Caenorhabditis elegans: one gene and its partner. The protein of the gene in region 1 interacts with the protein of each later gene in a pairwise test. Each region holds a gene or a part of one and is shown in the gene's direction. Other genes may lie near its edges.

Region 1 (4,652 bases):
AACCATATTCACAAATGCATTCAACAAATATTATGTTAATAGTATGTTTAAACGTTTCCGGTCGGGTCGTGACAAAGTCAAAAACATTGGTAATTGAACAAAACATTCCAATTTCAAAATGTTTTTATGGCTGCAGTTATTCAATAGAATACTCAATAATATATTTCGCTAAAAAATAATTGGAAATGTAATTTTTATTCAAATAATTTTTTTCAACAAACAAAAAAAATTTATAGTTTTTTTTAAATTTAAAATCACATTTTTCAAAAAATTTGTAAAGCTGTTTGCGGGGAACAGGAGGGAGGTGGGGATTACGAAACAAACATGAAATCGATGTGGTTAAGCCGGGAGACAAAATGACCCAATAATTTGTCCAATGACGTGGATGTGTGACACCAAATTCAGAGCTCAAAGCTTCAAACGGAAAAGAATAAAAACCAGGAGAGTTGCTCCAGATTCAGAGAGAGAAAGACGTCTCCATATATGACTCTACGTCTATTCATAATGCGCACTGTCTCTCTATTTGGCTCAGCTGAGCATCATTGGCTTCGAAGCAGTAGAAGAAAGCCGAGAAATGGAAATGGAGGAGGTTAAGAGAGACAGAACGTGTGAGAAAGAGAGAGCGAGAGGGACAAAAATGAAAAGTAGGCGGTTTAAACAAACAAAGAAAAACACAAGGAATATCGGATCGAAAGGATGCTCCGAGGAGCAATATTCGGGAAAAAAAGGAGCTCCGGTTTCAGAATGTCACTTCTGAATTTGGAAGTGTGACAATTCAAAAGAATTAGTATAACTCAGCGGCCCGATTTTTGTACCAAAAATACGGTCTCGACACGACAAACTTTTGTTAATTGCAATTTAGCTGTAAAATGGTGTGCGCCTTTAAAAGAGTACTGTAATTTCCATTCCCAAGTTGTGAGAAAACAGGAGAAAAACGAATATTTATTAAAACAGGAGAAAAAAGATCAGAAGATTTGAGTATTTTGTTTGAAATAACAACAAGTTGACCAAATTATTTGTTTTTTTAGTTTTCAGAAACAGTTTTGTGAATGCATTTCATGAATGGTTTTTGTGTCAAAGCAACGTTATAATAAAATTTAAAAATAAAATATTTTAATCTCTATTTATTATAACGTATTGATTTTTACAAACACTTTACTATTTATAATACAATTACTTTCTTGATTTTGGGATTTTCTTGAAATTTGCAATATTTTCGCAATATTTTCGGAACGACATTTTGAAATCTCGACATTTCACACAATTTTTGCATGTAAACGTTGTATTTGCCACCGTTTTAATTGATTTCTCTCAATTTTAATTTCAGATTCATCAACTACAGTATACTCGCCTTTGACTTTCAAGCTCATCGAGAAGTGCGCCAGCTTCGCATAATCAAGAAGTGCGTCAGCACTCGACTTGCGCAATTCTTGTCAACTGATATGATTTCTTTTTGTTTTTTGGTTATTTTTTGCGCGTTCTTTGTGCTTTTCGTTTTTTTTTTGTTCGTTGGTTTCTTTCTTTAATGAAACGAAATATTTTATTTTAGTTTAGACTTCCAATATATAGAATAATTAAATTGCATATAACATGACGAAAGGAAGTATAATCTGGGATTATAAATTTTGAGCTTTAGCTATCTTCCTTTATCCTTTAATTCTTGCGTCATTCATAAATGACATATCGTTTACTTTCGAAAATTGATTTTCACATGTCCGTTAACAATAAATAATTTAATTTTATAATACTTTTAGGGTAAATATGTCAAACTCAACGATGGAGGCTACTCAAATGAAAGTAAAGCTGGCTGTCGATGAGATGATTGACGATTTGGATAAGACCTATTTGAGGGATATGCAGAAGAGCATGTTTCAGTGCTCAGCTCGGTAATTATTTTCGAAATTACACTAAATATGTTTAGTAAGCAATTTGTATTACGCTAAACCACCTGAAAATGTCTAATTTAACTTCGCAATTGAAAATTTTTTGCATTATTTCAGGTGCTGTGACAACAAGAAAACCACACGCGATGCTGTCGAGAACTGCGTTGAAAGCTGCAACGATGGCATGAAAAAGGCGCAAGGCTATCTTGAAAAAGAGCTCGGAGGGCTTCAAGACCAGCTCTCACGCTGTGCAATGACTTGCTATGATAAGCTTGTTCAACAGTTTGGTCCAGATGTCAATAAGTATTCAGAATCACAGGTGTGAAGATTTATTAAATTTTAGAAATCAAAAAATTTATAAATTAATTTAGGATTTAAAAAATCAACACCCGAGGGGGCTCATAGCTCACAGCTTTTGGTGGAACATTTTTTTGGAATTAAAACAAAAGTATATACAGTGAAAAGCTAGTTTGGGTTGAAAATTAATTTAGTTTTGTCGAAGAAGAATTTAATAGAAATAAGATTTAAATTATAAATCATCCATACATTGAATCGTGAAGCTCTTCAAGATTTCTCTGTCTCTCCTCCTCCTCAACTTCTTTATCAGTTTTGACCTTCTGACGGCATGTTGGGCAAGTTTGTTGAGCTTCAAGCCATAGAGTGAGACAAAAATAATGAAAGCGATGTTTGCATGGCATGACGATAACTGTGGTTCCGAACGTTGTTGGATCAATTTTTAATTCCTCTTTGATGACATGATCTTCAGGAATATCGACGTTGTTTTGCAAGTTATCCAAACAAATTGCACAGGTTGCTGAAAAATAGATTATTTAGGCAAATAGTCAGCATTTTTTCTGAGTGTTTTTTTTTTCAAATACAAGCTTTGCTCAATTTTAATAGTTTCTCATACCATCTTCTTTCTGTTGATCTGTAGTCTCTCGATCCATCAGTCTCAGCGCTTTATATGATTTTTTGTCAATTGGCAAACTTCCAACATTATACAAATCCAGCCATCTTTGCATCGCATCTGTTTGTGAACCAGTACCTTCCGCTCGCATTCCTTAATTTAATATATAATTTGAATGCTTTCTCATAAAATAACTTACTGACGAAGATGGTTTCGAGCATATGCGAAAAAGCTCTAATAGCGTCTCTTTCCGACATATCTAATTGCCAGATAAAATATTTTAAGAAATGACGAGAGATATGGTGACAAAAGGAAAACGTACTTACGCAAGTGCAACGAAAAACGTGCAATTCGTCGTAACGGTGTTTGCGGATTTTTTGCGTGTCTGTCTCGCACTCTCCATTCTTTCATCACGAGTTTTGATGACTATTTATGCAAATTTCGGGGGTTTATGAATCACCAATCAAGTGCCACGCTGTTCATCGATTTTTAGTTTTGTATTACTTTTGCTATTTTAATAGTTAGACCCTCATAAGATTTGTATCGAGGGGTGTTTTTTTTTTAATGTAACATTATGAAATCTAAAATGATTCATTTTCTTTTCTATTCTTTCTGTCGTCTCTAATTAATGATAATTATCAATTTGGTAGAAATTTAGCGATCGCTAAAGACGCACGGTATTATTCAGAAGGGTCTCGGCGCGGAAAAAAGTTTATGGTAGTTTTTAATATTTTTTGCAGCTGCTTTTCCTTACATTTTTCATTGCAATTACCTCGATTTTAGCAAATTTTGCCTTTTTTTAAAACATTTTCATGTTAAAAATTGTTGTAAACCAGTTTTTTATTAAAAATATGTGTTTTTCTGTTTTTTGGCGTGGAAGAAACAGAAAAGTGAAATATATTTTCTTTACGCGCTGAGCCCCATCTTAATAAATTCCGTGCGCCTTTAGCAAGGCATGGCAAAAATATTTATAAGACACATTTCTGTGATCCTAACGCCTCTGATTTCTCACAAAATTAAAAAAAAATTGATCAAAAATTAAGAAAATCCTCGCATTTCAGAAGCTCAGTTTCAACGAGAAGCTCGATTCGTGTGTCTCTGTTTGTGCTGATGATCACATCAAATTAATTCCGGCAATCAAGAAGAGATTCGCGAAAAATACCTGAGAGCCAGCCACACATTTTCCACCGAGTATTGCCATATCCCCTCTTAATTTCCCATTTATCAAAAAAATATCCCATTTAGGCGTATTCTCCACTCATTAGGCTCCCTCATTGTTGCTCACTATTATATCATTATTTTTCTTTCATACTTTTTTAATAAGTTTTCATGCATTCAGTCATAAAATCTCTATCCCAATTGATTTAAACTCTCCTTAAACGTTTTGACCGTATTTCATACTTTTTCCACCGAACTTATTCTCTTCAAACAAAACAACGTTCAGGTACTATGAAAAAAATATTACCGATCATATGGCTCATCAATTTGGTTAGTGGAAGCCTATCACTCGAGAAAAAAGCTCCCGATTTACTTGGAAAAGTATGTGCATTTGGAGATTTCAATGCAGATCGGAATACTGATATTCTGGTTTTTGCGAATGGAACATTGACGATTAATTATCAAGAAACTAAACTTCTTGATGTGGTTAGTTTTTATTTTTTCTTTTGTTGAAATTTCACATAAAAATTTTGAAATTTTCAGCTCGAAGCTTCCAAATTCACACCAGGAACATCGTTTGCCATCAGTAAACCCAGCCTGAATGCAGATTTTGTTGAATGTTCAGTTGGCGATTTCAATGGAGACTCTAGGCTTGATGTTTTGGTGAGTTTATTGAAAACATTGTCATTTTGCTTCATTGAACT
Region 2 (6,181 bases), on another chromosome or scaffold:
TATTTATTTTTCGAGATTTATTTTACAAAAAAGTTTTATCGTCTGCAAAAATAATTTGTTTGAAAATGACAATAATTATTAATTAGATAAAAAACAGTTATCAATTTTTCAATTTGCTATTTAAATGTTCAAATTTGTTTTCCGAGCCATTTTATTTCAAAATTCGAAAAAAAACCCGTGCAAAACTCGTTATCACTGAGCAATAATGACAGTATTTATTGAAAAAAAATGTTTTGTGGATTTTTGCTTTGCTCGGTCTGAGATCTACCTAGAAATGCAATACAAAGGAATAATGATTCACTTTTCTTCCTGTATTGGTTTTCACCAGATATAAATTCACAGGGTATTTCAACAATTTTCATTTTTCTCTGAAAAATTTCAAAAAATTTGCACAATCTTTTAAAGTCTGAATTAGTATCAAAAATTGAATACTTAACTGAAAAATTGTAAATTTCAAAAAAGCCAGTTACATATATTCATTTTTCCAGGTCTTGAAATTGTTCTACGTATCTATTAAAATGCAAACACTGGATTTCCTAATCCCTTTTAAAGGTGAAGGTAGGGTCAGTTGTTTTTTTGTCTACATGCATTTTTAAAAATTCAGAATGGACGAATTTTAAGATAAATCACTTGAAAATTTTTAGATTTTCAAAATTTTGCAGGCAAATTTTTGGTAATTTGGAAAATTTACAATACATTTTAACTATTTAACAAATTTAGGGCAATGCCCAAAACACAATTGGAAAACAACAATTTTAGGTAAAAGATTTTTTGTGCAACTTCTAAAATTATGAGTAACATTACCTTACCCAATTTTTCAATATAAGTTTTTTGGAGTTAACTTCAAAAAATTCCCTACTGGGGATACCGAATCTTTATTGTAAGGTACGGTAGGATGTGTCTTTCCAAAACATTTAGTTTCTTTTCCAAATTTTTTTTCTGAGCAACCACATGATTTCTCAATCCTCCCGTTTTTTTCCCTCAACAACTGCTCACGTGACAGTCCTCAGATTGTGTTCAAAACTAGCCCCCTCCAGTTGCCCTTTTGTCTCGTATTAGTCCTGACACCTCTATCCTTCCTCAGCTGTCTCGCCGTCTCACTCTCGCAACATAGTGTCCGTAGGGGTCACGTGTCTGCGTGTGTGTGTCTTTTGTGCACACTGGTTATGAACACTTGCCGACTGTTAGAACACCGGATTGCACGCGCAAAACAGTTTTCAAATGGTCTCCAGTTTTTTAGGCCTAATTCTTTTTTCATGCTATGAAATTCGTTGTTTTTCCTATTTTTTCGAAGTTTTTTTTTAAATTGAAAGCATTAGTTGAAAAAAAGGAACTAAAGTTAATAGAATTTTAGGAAGACCTCGAAAAGATACTAATCAATTTACTTTCTCTCTGCCTCTCCAAATAAATTTCTTTTCTCCGCCAAAACGCAGCTGTTTTCTTTCTGCCCTCTAATCGTTCCGAGCCTTCTATCAAATAATTGATAAGAGTATATAACGTTCGAGATAGAAACACCGTTCTGATAACTTTTTAAAGCATCCCCATTCCAACAAAAAAAATCGTTTCCTCACATGATTATGTTTCACATCGATTTTTGTTGTTGTGTTGTTGTTTCACTGTTTGATTCTCGTTTGTTCTTGTTTGTACTCTACTCTTGCAGGGCATGTGTGTCGGCCTGTCAAAACTAGGGTTCGGCCCGCTGCCCGTTCTTATCGCGCTCATCTTCTTCGTGCAGTCATGTAAGTTTTTTTTGTGACAAAAGAAAGTGATAGAATAACTTGAAAATTAAAAAGACAAATTGTCCTGCTATTCGACAACAATGTTTTTTTTTAAATTTAAATTGCAACTTCTGTTATTTAGCAAATATTTTTTTTTCTAAAGACACCAGGTTAATTTAGAGTATTTCGTTTTTAGCATTGCATCAAAATTTCGTTTTCAAAACTAGAACTATTTTTTGCTATTTCGCAGTTATTTTACTATAAAACCGTTCACAAAGTCATCAATGATTTTGGATATCTCGTGAAACAAGTCAAAATGCATTGGAAGAAAAATTAAATTAAATTTATTAATATATTATTTTTAAAAAAATTCAAAATTCATCTTCAACAAATATAGTTTATGGGGTTATTCAAGTAGTGTCGGAAAATTACAAGGTGTAAAAAAAATGACGTCACAACTGTGTTAACATACCTTGTTTTTAATGTATTTTAACACAGTTGTGACGTTATTTTTCTAGACTTTTTAATTTTCCGGCACTACTTGAACAACCCCATAGATTATTTTTTTTTTAAAGACGAATTTAGAAAATTTTTAAATGGTATATAAATAAATTAAAAAAAAAGGATACACACTATGCATTTCCTATACGGTTTCAAATTCACATTGACAAATTACTTCCAAACAGGCCTAACTATGTACATATGTATATCAACTTTCAGTTTTCGTCTACACTATCGCAGTGCTCAAACACGACGTCGATCCAATCTTCCCGTACCTCTCGTCGGCCGCCGACAAACGTCCCCAATCATGCATCTTTGCCATCGGAGCCAACATCAGCAGTGTTCTGCTTGCCCTTGTGGTCTTTGTGAGATATCGCCAGTTGAGGGGCATTTTCGCATTCTATGATGAGGCCAACCTGCAGGCATGGAACTGGCGGCAAAAGTGGTTTGGATACATTGCCGCGCTGGGATTGTTCTTTGTGGCAAATGTTCAGGTAGTTAATTTTGAATAAGTTTAAATTTTAATTCGGCAAAGCCGAAAAAAAAACGTTTTGTCAATGATGTAGAAATTTATATGAATTGTAGCAAAAAATGTACTTGATTTGATGATTTATAGCAATTGATAGGGTTCTGGTAAATGAATAATTTATCAGGGTTGTAGTTTGAAATCCAGTCGACTTTCTAACTGTTAAGAATCAGATCAGAGGTGGGCGGCAAACAAAGTGCCAATTTGCCGAATTTACCCGTCTTATTAATAATTTCCCTAAACATTTCCGGGAAATCTGATATCCGGCAAACGGCAAATTGGCAATTTGCCGAAAATGAAAATTTCCGGTAAATCGGCAAACCGGCAATTTGCCGCCCACCCCCAAATCAGATATAAAAAATGTAATCAGAAAATTAATTATGACGACTTTCAGAATTTTTTTAATTCAAATAAACTAAACTATTGTCACGTGATCGACATTTGGCTCAAGCTTCTTGCCCAAGTCTAATCCAATTTTTGCCAAACTTCTGCCCAAGATTAAAATAAAACAAGACAAGTTTGAGCAAAAGTTTGGCAAGAGATGGGTGAAATTTGGACTAAACTTTGGCGCAGAATAAATCAATGTTTAGCTAAAGTCTTGCCCGACTTTTGTCCAAGTTTAGCTAACTATCGATTCAAGCTAATATTTTTTGGGCCAAATTTAGACAAGAAGCTGAAGCCAAATGCCGAGTGTACAGTGACCCTTTTTACTTTGGCAGCGTTTAATTCACCGAACCCAGAGCGATTTACCCATCGGCTCTTCTCCAGTTCAAACTTGCCACTGAAATCCGCCACAACAACTAGAATGTTACAACAAACGCTGAAAAAAAACCCGAACGAGAGAAAAGTCCGAACGGAATTTCTCCTAATAATTTTTACTTTTCAGGAAACCGCCATCATCCCGGTTCACATGTCCTCCGCCGTTGCCTCATTTGGTGGATTCAGCATCTACATGATCTTCCAGTGCTACCTTACGCACCGAGTCACACCGACAATCACACTGAGGACTGTTTTCTATTACCGTGTGATCTTCACTATCTTCTCCGTGATTTGCTTCTGCTGCTGTAAGTTTCGACCTTTGCACTCGGAATTTTTTTTTTTTCTGAAGAGATTGATCGCATTCTTGATGATAACATCTAGTTGTTCCCTGTAGTGGATTTAAAATACGAATTGGTTGATAATTTAACAAGATTACGCTACATAGAATCGACAAATGTTAAAGGAAGTTGCGCATGATCTTTGAAGTCTTCCTTGGTTAAAGTCTAAACTAGCTCACCAATCGGATATATAAAAAATTGTGCAACATTTTAGCGATGTATCATAAATGATCTCAATGATTCATGGCTATGCAAAGAAATTTAAATTTTCAGCATTTGGATTCGGAATCGCTGCTTCCAAAATCTTCCACAAGACGTACCCGGATCTTCCGACGCCCCGTCCCTGGTCCCGTCGTATTTATCAGCCCGTAAGTATTATTGATATTCAGTAAATAATACATTGAATGATAGTCGAAAACTATAAAACCAAAAAAAATATATATTTCCGGGGGCAGCATAGCTCAGTCGGTAGTGGTGGCCGCTAACAATCTGGAGGTTGGCCTGAGTGGTCTAGTGGGTAAGGTGCGCGACTTTCACCCACATGGTGCAGGTTCAATCCCCACGCCGGTCACTCTTGTCTCCGCTTTGACCGGTGCGTTGGTCGCCTGATCATTATGATGTATGATACCCAAATAAAGTCGTGGTTAATAGACGGGCCGGAGGTCCGTACAGAAAAAAAAACTCGGCGCTGGGTGAATAATATCTGAAGTGCATCGATCAGTTACGAGTCTGGTGATTAATGGGGGCGTCGTCGTCGCTCAGATCCCCCCGACCTAGTCGGGCCAACACCCATTAGCTCTCAACGCGCGCACGTTGTACAATTATTATTATATATTAACAATCTGGAGGTCACAAGTTCAAGTCCGGCCTCACCCCCTGGGTTTACCCAGCCTCTATTGGGAAGTGCAGCAATCCACGACTGGATTATTGTCCACAGTCCCCGGCTAGGACGTGGCTTAAATTATAGCCCAGGGGGAGCACCAGTGTACCTGACTTATAGATCCGCAGTGCATAGCGCTTGTAGAACGGATCGTCATTTAATCTTTTTTTTTTTAAATATTTCATTTAAACAGACTTTCTGTTGAAGGAACCACTACAATCTTGTTGGAATCTTGATGTCAGCTATAAAATTGTTTCATGGGAAATTTCAAATGCTCTTTTTTTTTTAAACTCACTTGCAGTAGCATCTATTCCCTCAATCCCCACCAGCAAATTCGCAGAATGGGTAATTCCTGGTCTCCCGAATTGAATTCCTGGAAAAAATATTTGTTTTGTATTTTAGGAACAATGTACCTTAAAAAATCAGTTTATAGTCTGGTCTCACACAAGGCAGAATGAGTTAAAAAAAACCCCTTGAAGTTCTTAGAAAACAATTTTTCAAATTTCCAGGGCTACGAGCTGCACCAGATCTCGGCGCTCGCTGAATGGGGATGTGCCATCTCACAGATCTTCTTCATACAGTCGTTTGGGCCGGAGTTTGAGGACATCTCCCTCGACTATTATCTCAAATCGCACTACGTTCCGCGCGGAGCACTTGAGCAGGAGGAGTATGAAAATGAGTACCAAGGATATGGCATCTAGAAATTATTGCATTCGAATCTTTCTCTTTCTGTTACCGGTGGGCCGTTGACGCAGCTCATTTTCACGTGTTCTACTAGTATTTTGAAATTTCATGACATTTAATTTTGCTGTAACATCTCATGTTTTTTGCATCCCCGTTTTTCTTTCACAAAGATTCCCCAACTACCCAGTTTTTTTAGTGCCTTGTATATCCCATTGAATTGTTTGTTGCAGGTGCTATCAATCAATTAACCATTTATTTTTATAACTTTTTTTTTCATCTTTCTAGGGACACAAGATTTGAATAATTGGAGGAGACAATTCAGAGCAAAAAAGAAAAGACAAAATGTTTTTAAAATGACAACAAAGAGAGAAATGATCGATTCGGGAAAGGGCTGGAGAACAAAAAATAGTGGGTAAAACTATTGCACAATTTTTTGAGGTAATTATGGTAATTCAGAGAAACAGGAAGAGAGAGAGATGAAAATAAGGAAAATTGAAGGAAAAAAGATAGAAAAATGAAATTAGAAAGGAAAAATGAATTTTTTTAATGAGAAAATCTTGATACAAAATTTATAAATCACAAAACTCAAATTTTTCGGGGAAAACTGAATGATGATGATGATGAGAGAAGATAAGATATTTTTAAATATGGAAACTTTAATAACGACGAAAAAAAAACCATAAGTTAATGTGTTCCCATACGACTACCAATGAATACATCAATTAGAGATCAAAAAACTGGAATTTGATTTGTATATTTGAGTTTCTGTTTGGTT

The links. Proteins that work in one complex are often made in the same cells at the same time.
Region 2: the proteins of famh-136 (region 1) and C33A11.2 interact in a two-hybrid assay, tested with the Caenorhabditis elegans proteins (one large-scale study listed by BioGRID).

What each region holds. Positions count from the first base shown.
Region 1 is NC_003281.10:8,885,997-8,890,648, forward strand, and holds famh-136 (FAM161 homolog famh-136), read left to right. Parts: upstream 1-1,754; 5' UTR 1,755-1,761; coding exon 1,762-1,886; intron 1,887-2,000; coding exon 2,001-2,202; exon of another isoform or gene 2,203-2,419; coding exon of another isoform or gene 2,420-2,697; intron 2,698-2,793; coding exon of another isoform or gene 2,794-2,943; intron 2,944-2,989; coding exon of another isoform or gene 2,990-3,047; exon of another isoform or gene 3,048-3,160; intron 3,161-3,851; coding exon 3,852-3,956; 3' UTR 3,957-4,147; downstream 4,148-4,652. Other genes in the region: putative RING finger protein ZK637.14, read right to left, coding at 2,420-2,697, 2,794-2,943, 2,990-3,047; lnkn-1 (Protein linkin), read left to right, coding at 4,240-4,434, 4,492-4,611. UniProt on the Caenorhabditis elegans protein: May play a role in locomotion and behavior.
Region 2 is NC_003284.9:15,364,334-15,370,514, forward strand, and holds C33A11.2 (Aa_trans domain-containing protein), read left to right. Parts: upstream 1-1,658; 5' UTR 1,659-1,663; coding exon 1,664-1,739; intron 1,740-2,438; coding exon 2,439-2,713; intron 2,714-3,631; coding exon 3,632-3,809; intron 3,810-4,115; coding exon 4,116-4,210; intron 4,211-4,341; exon of another isoform or gene 4,342-4,413; intron 4,414-5,231; coding exon 5,232-5,423; 3' UTR 5,424-5,666; downstream 5,667-6,181.